Linked DNA regions of Cricetulus griseus. The protein of the gene in region 1 interacts with the protein of each later gene in a pairwise test. Links are inferred from orthologs where the notes say so. Each region holds a gene or a part of one and is shown in the gene's direction. Other genes may lie near its edges. The genes, in order: Agr2 and Fabp2.

The links.
Region 2: the proteins of Agr2 (region 1) and Fabp2 interact in binary tests that used the Homo sapiens proteins (3 or more experiments, as listed by UniProt). The two-hybrid records come from large-scale screens. The link is inferred for Cricetulus griseus from reciprocal best matches to the Homo sapiens genes AGR2 and FABP2.

Annotation. Positions count from the first base shown.
Region 1 is NC_048598.1:165,725,712-165,730,050, reverse strand, and holds the start of Agr2 (anterior gradient protein 2 homolog), read left to right. Parts: upstream 1-1,410; coding exon 1,411-1,549; intron 1,550-1,797; coding exon 1,798-1,861; intron 1,862-1,973; coding exon 1,974-2,026; intron 2,027-3,226; coding exon 3,227-3,300; intron 3,301-4,339. UniProt on the Homo sapiens protein: Required for MUC2 post-transcriptional synthesis and secretion. May play a role in the production of mucus by intestinal cells. Proto-oncogene that may play a role in cell migration, cell differentiation and cell growth. Promotes cell adhesion.
Region 2 is NW_023276806.1:35,615,359-35,619,660, reverse strand, and holds the start of Fabp2 (fatty acid-binding protein, intestinal), read left to right. Parts: upstream 1-1,498; coding exon 1,499-1,565; intron 1,566-2,840; coding exon 2,841-3,013; intron 3,014-4,302. UniProt on the Homo sapiens protein: FABPs are thought to play a role in the intracellular transport of long-chain fatty acids and their acyl-CoA esters. FABP2 is probably involved in triglyceride-rich lipoprotein synthesis.

The DNA of each region.
Region 1 (4,339 bases):
TCATTAACACGAGATGGCAATGGAGTGACAGTAAAATGCTAGGTGTCGCTGGCTTATAAGCTTAAGTTGTAATTGCAGACTTTCAGAAGATGAAAATCATTATTAGCATTCCTGCATCCATACGAATGTAGAAACGTATGACACTGTGTTACTGCTTTAGCCTGTATCTTTTCTGAGCCTCTGTGTGGCCGTACATTGTGACTTGGATAACTGTTGGTCAGTTAATTTAAGGCATCACTTGGGTTGGTGACTGACTTCTTTTTACTACTCTAACGTCTAGCAAAGGTTCTCATTTGGGCTCACAGTCTATGAGGCTCTTCTCTCTCCTAAGCACTTACACCATGACACTCTACCTGCTTCCTTGGTAGAGTCTATTTGACTTAATGAAGAACGATACCAATACTACAGATGGACCCTCTAGTTCTGCATTGCTTTCTGGGCACCATTAGAATTTGGCATTACCAGATTCGAAGTCTTCAGTAGCCCAAGGTACAGACCATACGTACTTTGAGTGACATGAAACACAACCTGCTTGGCCTTCCTTCCTGCACTCATGCATTCTGTCTTGTCATTTAGAGCCCTACTCATGGTCATCTGCTGCAGCTTTTCCTAGTAATTAACTGTCCAATAGCAAAGGAGGAGAAAGGGAACTTAACACAGAAACATCCTGGGTTTTATTCTCCATGTCATGTTCATCACAGACTACATCTGTGTACTGGAGTGTATGCCTTCCCCTGCCACACAGGCCCAGACAAGGGCAAAGAATGTTCATTTTATGTGCCTTGATCAGTTCACAGCTAACACTGTTTGAGCAGATCCTCAATAGAGAAAAGGAACGAGTCTCCAGAGAAGAAGCCAGCATTCTGTAAATGAAGTAAGATGTGGTCATGTTATTGACATCCATTCTTTAAGGCAAGCTGTCGCTTCCATTGTAAGGGTGAATGTTCAGGAAAAGAGACGGGAGTTAACACTTTTGCTCTGAACTCATCCCCAAAATCTTTTCATCTCTCTGAACTTTAGAGTCTTCATCTACACAGTGAGAAAGGGGGGAAAGAGGTACCCCAAATTACCTACCATTACTATGCTTTTTAGTATAACTTTTAAATGTGCATTTCCCTAGCAGCCAAATATATGCGTCTACCTAGTTATATATTTCCTTAAAAAATATGTGTTATTCTACTGTAAGATAAGATACAACAAATATTATGTATTCACTGATAGAGAAAGTGAAGACAGTGAAGGCAGATAGACAATGGCTGGACACCTCAATAAGCATTCCTGGGAAACTCCTCCTCCTGTCCACTCCTGTCCCATCTTATCTCAGCGTAACCCGGTTCCCGCTGCTTTCCACTGTTGTGATACACTCTGTAGAGTCTAATTCCTTCCTGTTTATTTCCCGTGTAGATTGCCATGGAGAAAATTTCAGTGTCAGCATTCCTGCTTCTTGTGGCCCTCTCCTATACCCTGGCCAAAGATACCACAGTCAAACCTGGAGCCAAAAAGGACCCAAAGGACTCCCGGCCCAAACTGCCCCAGACCCTCTCCAGAGGTAGGTGTCAACTTTTTGCTGGCTCCCAGCTGCAACTTAATTCATAAAGGTATTAAATGTGTCTGCTGAAGATATTTGTGGATTTTTTTTTTCTAGATTTAGCATAGTTAATAATCAGGTCTTCCCGCTCCGGAGGCTTTTGTTCTTTAGTACTAAGTACATATTATCTGGGTTTTTACCATCACTTTTCAACAGGCTTGAGCCTGAAACTGTGGTGGATTTAAAGATACCAACTCCTTTTGTTCTAGGTTGGGGCGATCAGCTCATCTGGACTCAGACATATGAAGAAGCCTTATACAAATCCAAGACCAGGTAAGGCCGGTTACATGAAGCTCCTGGAGTCTCTCATGAGCGCCATCTAGTGGTGACTATCAGGTGTTCATGGCATCCTAATAAACATCCCATAATGTCTTCTCTCTCGCAGCAACAGACCCTTGATGATCATTCATCACTTGGACGAATGCCCACACAGTCAAGGTACTCTGTTCTCCTAAATTTCTTTTAGAAGCTTTTGTGTCGGGTCAGGGTTTGGATCACTCATCTTTACGTACCTAGGACCTAGCACTGTTTAAACAAGAAAGAATATCTTAAAACATTTAAAAAGACATTTGGATGTTTCCATGTTTTGAATTAACTATTGTTGCATATTTTGAGTATGAAATGCTGTGGATGGGGGTGCTGGAGAGATGGCTCGGCGGTTAAGAAATGCTGGGGTTCATCGATTAACTTCTTCCATCTTTTTCATGCGATATATCAACAAATACCATTGGATTTACTGTTAAAAGATATCTCCAGTCAGCACTAGCTTCCCACACATGCAACCTGCCCACTTGTTCAGGCTCCCCATGTTTGGTGCAATATACTCAATGCTGTCTTCACTTAATAATTCTAGCATGAGGGGCTCTGTATTTTCATTTCCCGCTGGTCTTTGTATATTAGGTAGCTCTTCTTGCCCAAATCCAAATGCCTTCTATTACCTCAATGCTACCACCTTAATCCAAGCCAACATGGCACCTTGTCCACCATACCAAACCTATCACCACTGACTACAGCAGTCAGCCCTCTACACAGAAGCCAGACTGAAGCTGTTCAATACAACTCAGATCCTTCACTCGTGTGCCCCGGGTGGCTTCTCATCACAAGAAAATTTAAAGCCTGATTCCTGGAATCCATCCAGCCGGAGCTTGGTTTCCCTTTCCTGTCAAGATCACATATTCCCACTTTATCCAGCCTGCCTTCATACAGCTCATCCCTATTAACCAAGGCTTTATAGCAACCTGTCCCCAATGGTCTGGACACTCTCTGACCTCAGAGTCACCTCCTAAAAGAGATGTGCCAAGACAAATTAGTAGCTCTTTAAGCCTTCACCTCACTTTATTTGTCCCCTGTGTATGTATAACTATATGAAATTACATATGTAGTATGCATTGGTTTATGCTGTGGTTCCCACACAAGCATCTGACCTCTGGAAGTGTGCTTTTCTGTTCAAGGTATTTTCCCTAGTGTATAAAATCATGTCTGCCAAAACATAGTTACTCAGTAACATCACAAATCATTTGCTGGAGGGGCAACGTAGGCATTGTATTTAAAACACTTTTCAACTTAAAAGAAAAGAGAAAGCAAAAGTCCTAATCAAAACTGAGATAAAGCACAATTGCTTTTTTTCTTATATTACAGCTTTAAAGAAAGTGTTTGCTGAAAATAAGGAAATCCAGAAATTGGCAGAGCAGTTTGTTCTCCTCAACCTGGTTGTAAGTTCCCCTCATCATCACCCATGTCTCCTCTGGCTTCAACGTCTGATTCGCCCTTTCTGTGCATCTCAGTCATGCTGCATTAACTAGAATCTCATCCCAGTATCCCATCGTACAGCTGAGAAACCCACAATCTTTTACTTTATTAATAATCTTATTTTGAAATTTTGCATTACTGGCATTGGGGCCAGCACCTGGCACATGCCAAGGAACATTCTGCCACTGAGTCATGTCCTCCACCTCTTTCTTAGTAATTTATGTGGCACACATGTTTTATTGTAATTAATAATCTTATCTGAAAAATATTCTTTAATGGTCAGGATCTCTGTGCTGCTATAGTAACCGGTTTTCGGTATTTTTGCAAATCACTGCCTTTGCCCATCTCCTTCGAGTCCTGGCTCACAAATCCCTGTAACTTCTTTCTCTCCATGGGCGAGAGCTCTGGTTGTCCAGATCTTCCCATGCGTCCTGGACTTTCGCTTCAGGAGGAATCCTGTCTCACTTCTCCATCACCAACCCTCCCGCCTTAGCCAGGCTTCCACTCTCTAACAAACGGTCCAATCACAGCTCCTCCAAGTCTTCCTCCTTGAGTTGTTTGGTTCTTTTTGAGTATCACATCCCTTCGCTTCTTGCCTCCTGCCCTGTATCACAGGCTGCTCTTTCTGCTCTGTGACACGTGTCTTCTCATCTGTGTTGTGAACTTTTGCAGAGAGGTTCCCTGGCAGTACCTTAGGCCCATGGTACACTGAGAGACACAGTCTCTTTTCTGATTAGCTTTTTAAATTAGTTTTAAATGTAATGGGTTCCACTATGGCACTTTCATATGCACTTTGTTTTTGCGCCTCTACCCCGACTAGTCTCTTTGCTAATCCCTAGAGCCCTACTTCTGTTTATATACTCTATAACCCTTTTCCAGTCCCCCAACCCTCTCTTAATTGTTTCACCACTCATGGTGAGTGCCCTTTCTAGTTCCAGAAAGATTTAACAGACACTTTTTTGCATTGGTAAGTTTGAAAATACCTAAAGAATAACATACAGC
Region 2 (4,302 bases), on another chromosome or scaffold:
AGGCACAGGCAGCCCAAGGAGTCACCTGTACCAGGCACTAAATAAGAAGATAACTTTCTAATCACCAAAGATATGGATTTTCTTCACAAAATAATAAAGTGGATCAAGGCCTGAGGTGCTCCTACTACACTGGTACTGGTGTAAACTTCCTTTCTCAGACAATGAGGACAGAAACATAGGTTTACTAAGTACCTGGTGTCTACAAGTTGTTCCGGTTGGAGCTTTTACACAGTGCTTTAAAAAATGCCCTATACTTGAGGCACTACTGTCTTCATGTGTGAGGAAACTGAGTCTCAGGTATGTTGGATAATCTGAGGCCATTCATGGTAGTGGGTGTTTTGATTGCAATACTAAAGCCTGGTTCATTTCTAAAACACATGCTTCTTTTTTAAATATATCATATTTCTAGTCCATTGGCCAGAGATTGACTTTACCTTTGTAATAAAGATTGGATCTTTAGTTTAAAATATTTGTTGTGTTTTTAATTATGTGTGTATATGTGTCTGTGTGAGGGTTTGGGTATGCATGAGCAAAGGGCTCACAGAATCCAGAAGAAGGCATCAGATGCCCCAGAACTGGTGTTACACACAGTTGAGAGTCAACCTATGTGGATACTAGGAATCAAAATGTGTCCTCTGTAAGAGTAGTGTGGTTTTTTTTTGTTTATTCATTTTTGGTATTGTTTGTTTCTCTGTTTGTTTAAGACACAGTCTCATTATACAGCACTGGCTGTCTGGGAACTCACTGTAGACCAGGATGCCCTAACTATATGGATCCATCTCTCTGCCTCCTGAGTGCTGAGACTAAAGGGGTGTGTGTGCCTTCACCACCCAGCTACATTGTGTGCTCATAACCTACTGAGCAACCTCTCCAACCTGTGGCTTCTTTAAAAACATTTAAATTTATTCTTTGACAATTTCATACTTTTATCCAATTTAATCATAACATTCCACCATCCCCCTCCAACTCCCTTAAATGGCGCCCATCCCATCACCTTTTCAACTTCATGTCCTCCTTGGTTGTTACAATAACTGTTGCCCATATACCCGTGAATGTGGGTCTACCTATTAGAGCATTGATATCCTACTAGCCATGTCCTCAAAGGACAGCGACTGACTCTCCCTCAACAGCCACCACCATCCACAGGCTTCAAAATTCATGAATCTCTGTTAAGTTTGTTGCCTGAGAAGATGCTTTGTAGGCTTTAGCACCTAGGTCTATAATTTGACATTACAACAAGAATACATGATGCCATTTATAAAGTTCATGATGGAGAACTGAGCAATCCACTTTTCAAAAGGAATAACAGAAGTAGAGTCAAGGAAAGCATGGAAAGAGAAGCTAAAGGGGCGTGGCATGTAAGGTAGTTAAGTAATCTCTTGAACTTTAAACTTCCACATCACAGTATGAGTTGGTTCGAAGATAAGAAGTAGAATAAATTCTCTCTTGTAGACAAGACTGAATCTCTGCTTTTCCAGAGGCACACACAACTGAGACCATGGCATTTGACGGCAATTGGAAAGTAGACCGGAGTGACAACTATGATAAGTTCATGGAGAAAATGGGTAAGAGTGTCTACCTGGGCGGCTCATTGTTTGCTTTCTCCTGCCTGTGCCTTAGGGAATGACTGGTGATGTGTAAGGCTCCAGGTGTGACTATAGAGCCAGGAAATCCATATCCACTCTTCCTGCTTTAGGAAGAACATCTTGTCTTCCCAGGGCAAGTGTTAGAGACCTTGTGTTTTCTTCCCTTGCCTGTTAGCTGAAAATTCACACGTGTGTGTGTGTGTGTGTGTGTGTGTGTGTGTGTGTGTGTGTGTGTGTGTGTGTGTTATGATAATTTCCAGAATTTAAAATAACACCGGATTATTGGGGGTAAAAAGAAGGATCTTTCAACAAGGTAAGAAAAGAATTTTATCAAAACTCAGCTTGAATAAATTCTATGTAATTCTCTTCTCTGACTTATGTAACTTCAGGAATAACCACAGAAAGCTGTGTATTCTTTATGGATGTATAATTTGATTACATTATAAATGTCCACTAATATTCTGGCAACCCACTACAAAACTGGGCAAAAATTATGTGTCATTCCCAAAATAAAACCTGCATGAATTATGGTTTATAATTTAGGGATTCTGAATTTAAATTTGTGATATCTGTACATTGATATTATAATGTATTTCATCATAAAACCCCTATTTTTTCTTGCTTGCAACTAATCAGGAATGCCACAAAAATGAATATAACTATGAAGCAAGCAAAGCATGGTGCTATATGCCTGTGATCTTAACACTTTGAGAGTGAAATGGGAGAATTGTGAATTAAAGGCTAGGGTGCTAGGCTATCTGGCAAGTTTGGAGCCTGCCTGGGTTATATATCAAGACCCAGTATCAAATGACAACAACAAAATAAATTAATAAATGCAATTTTGAAAGCAAAGTAGTGTTGAAAGTTAATAAATATCCAGAACTGAACTTGTGTTTCTTTAATATATGAATATACCTTTTAATACTCCATTTGACATTGCTGGAATTTGACTTAACTCTGAAGCAAAAAGGTTGTTAATCTTGTTAAAACGACCCAGGGTTAAGGTGCTACAGTTTGTTGCTTCATTTCCATTTTTCTTAGTTTGGAAAAGCTGCTTGAAGCAGTTCTCTGGGTCTACCAGAGCTTCCCCTTTCTCTAGAAGCATCTCAGTGTTGCTGTGCACACACAACCCTATTTGCTCTTTCTTCTCCACCCACAAAATAAACATGAGCAAACCAGGACAGAGTTTAGAAAGGGAAACACTTTCCGAGGCATTTTCATTTCTTGTTCCTTCCAATCTCTCTCGTTGTGCAGGTGTTAATGTGGTGAAAAGGAAGCTTGCAGCTCACGACAATTTGAAACTGACCATCACACAGGACGGAAATAAATTCACAGTCAAAGAATCAAGCACCTTTCGCAACATTGACATTGTGTTTGAACTTGGTGTCAACTTTACCTATAGTCTAGCAGATGGAACGGAACTCAATGTAAGACATTTTTAAAATAAACAATACATTCTTGATTTTTTTTACCAATACAAAGTGGTTGATCTCATGGAACGGTTCAACTAATTCAAATTCATTCCTAAGAAGAGGCAAACAAAGTGTGTTCATATTTTATGTTACACACGTTGGTTAAATGTTTAAATACAGTATTTTATTGTGACAGACATCTGTGAAAAAGTTATACTGAACAATAAGATTAGATGGACTGAGTATCGGAATAGTCACAAGGTGTCTTAGTTATGGTTTCTATTGCTATGAAGAGAAAGTATGATCACAGCAATTTTTATAAAGTAAAACATTTAATTGTGTTGTTTACAGTTCAGAGGGTTAGCCCATTCCCATCATGGAGAGGCATGGTGGCATGCAGACAGACATGGTGCTGGAGAAGGAGCTGAGAGTTAATGTGTCTTGATCTGCAGGCGACACGACATGAACTGTGTCACTGGGCATAGTTTTAGCCTGGAGACCTCAAAGCCCACCCCAACAATGACACACTTCCTCCAACAAGGCCACACCACTCCAACAAAGTCACACTCCCTAATAGTACCACTGTCTATGGGGGCCTTTTTCATTCAAACCACCACACAAGGAAATGTAAAGTTCTGTATTTTCAACTCTTCCTGCTGGGAGACTACAAGCTTTTAATGTTCATAATATTGAAACACAATAAGTGTTTATATATGTACTTGGACAATAAACTGAGAAGCCAGGTATGTAGCAGATTCAGGAGACTGTAGCAAGGACAAAACCGTGGATTGTGGTTCCAGCACTGTATAAAAACTGGGCATGGTCACACAAGCCTGTAATCCCAAGATGTGGGAATTGAGTCAGGAGGATCGTAAAGTCAAGCCTCTCCAAACATGTAGAGTAAGTTTGAGGTTAGAGTGAGCTACATGATATTTAATCTAAAAAAATTAAACAATTAATGAGTGGGTGAGTAGCCAAATGTAAAAGTCTAATACTTTATAGGTCATTAAGAATGTCCCTTTCAATGGACATAAAAAAAATTTAGGGACTCACTCTTTTCAATTAATTTTTAAGAAGTATTTTTAGTCTCAGAGATTTTCTAGTCAAGTATATTTGTAGTACGTGTGTGTGTGTGTGTGTGTGTGTGTGTGTGTGTGTGTGTGTGTATGTATGTATGTATGTATGTATGTATGTATGTATGTGTGTGTGTAGTGGTTGCACATGCCCACATGGCCAGAGGAGGCCATCAAGTGCCTTGTGGTGCTGCATATCTTATTCCCTTGAGACAGGGTATCTCACTCAAT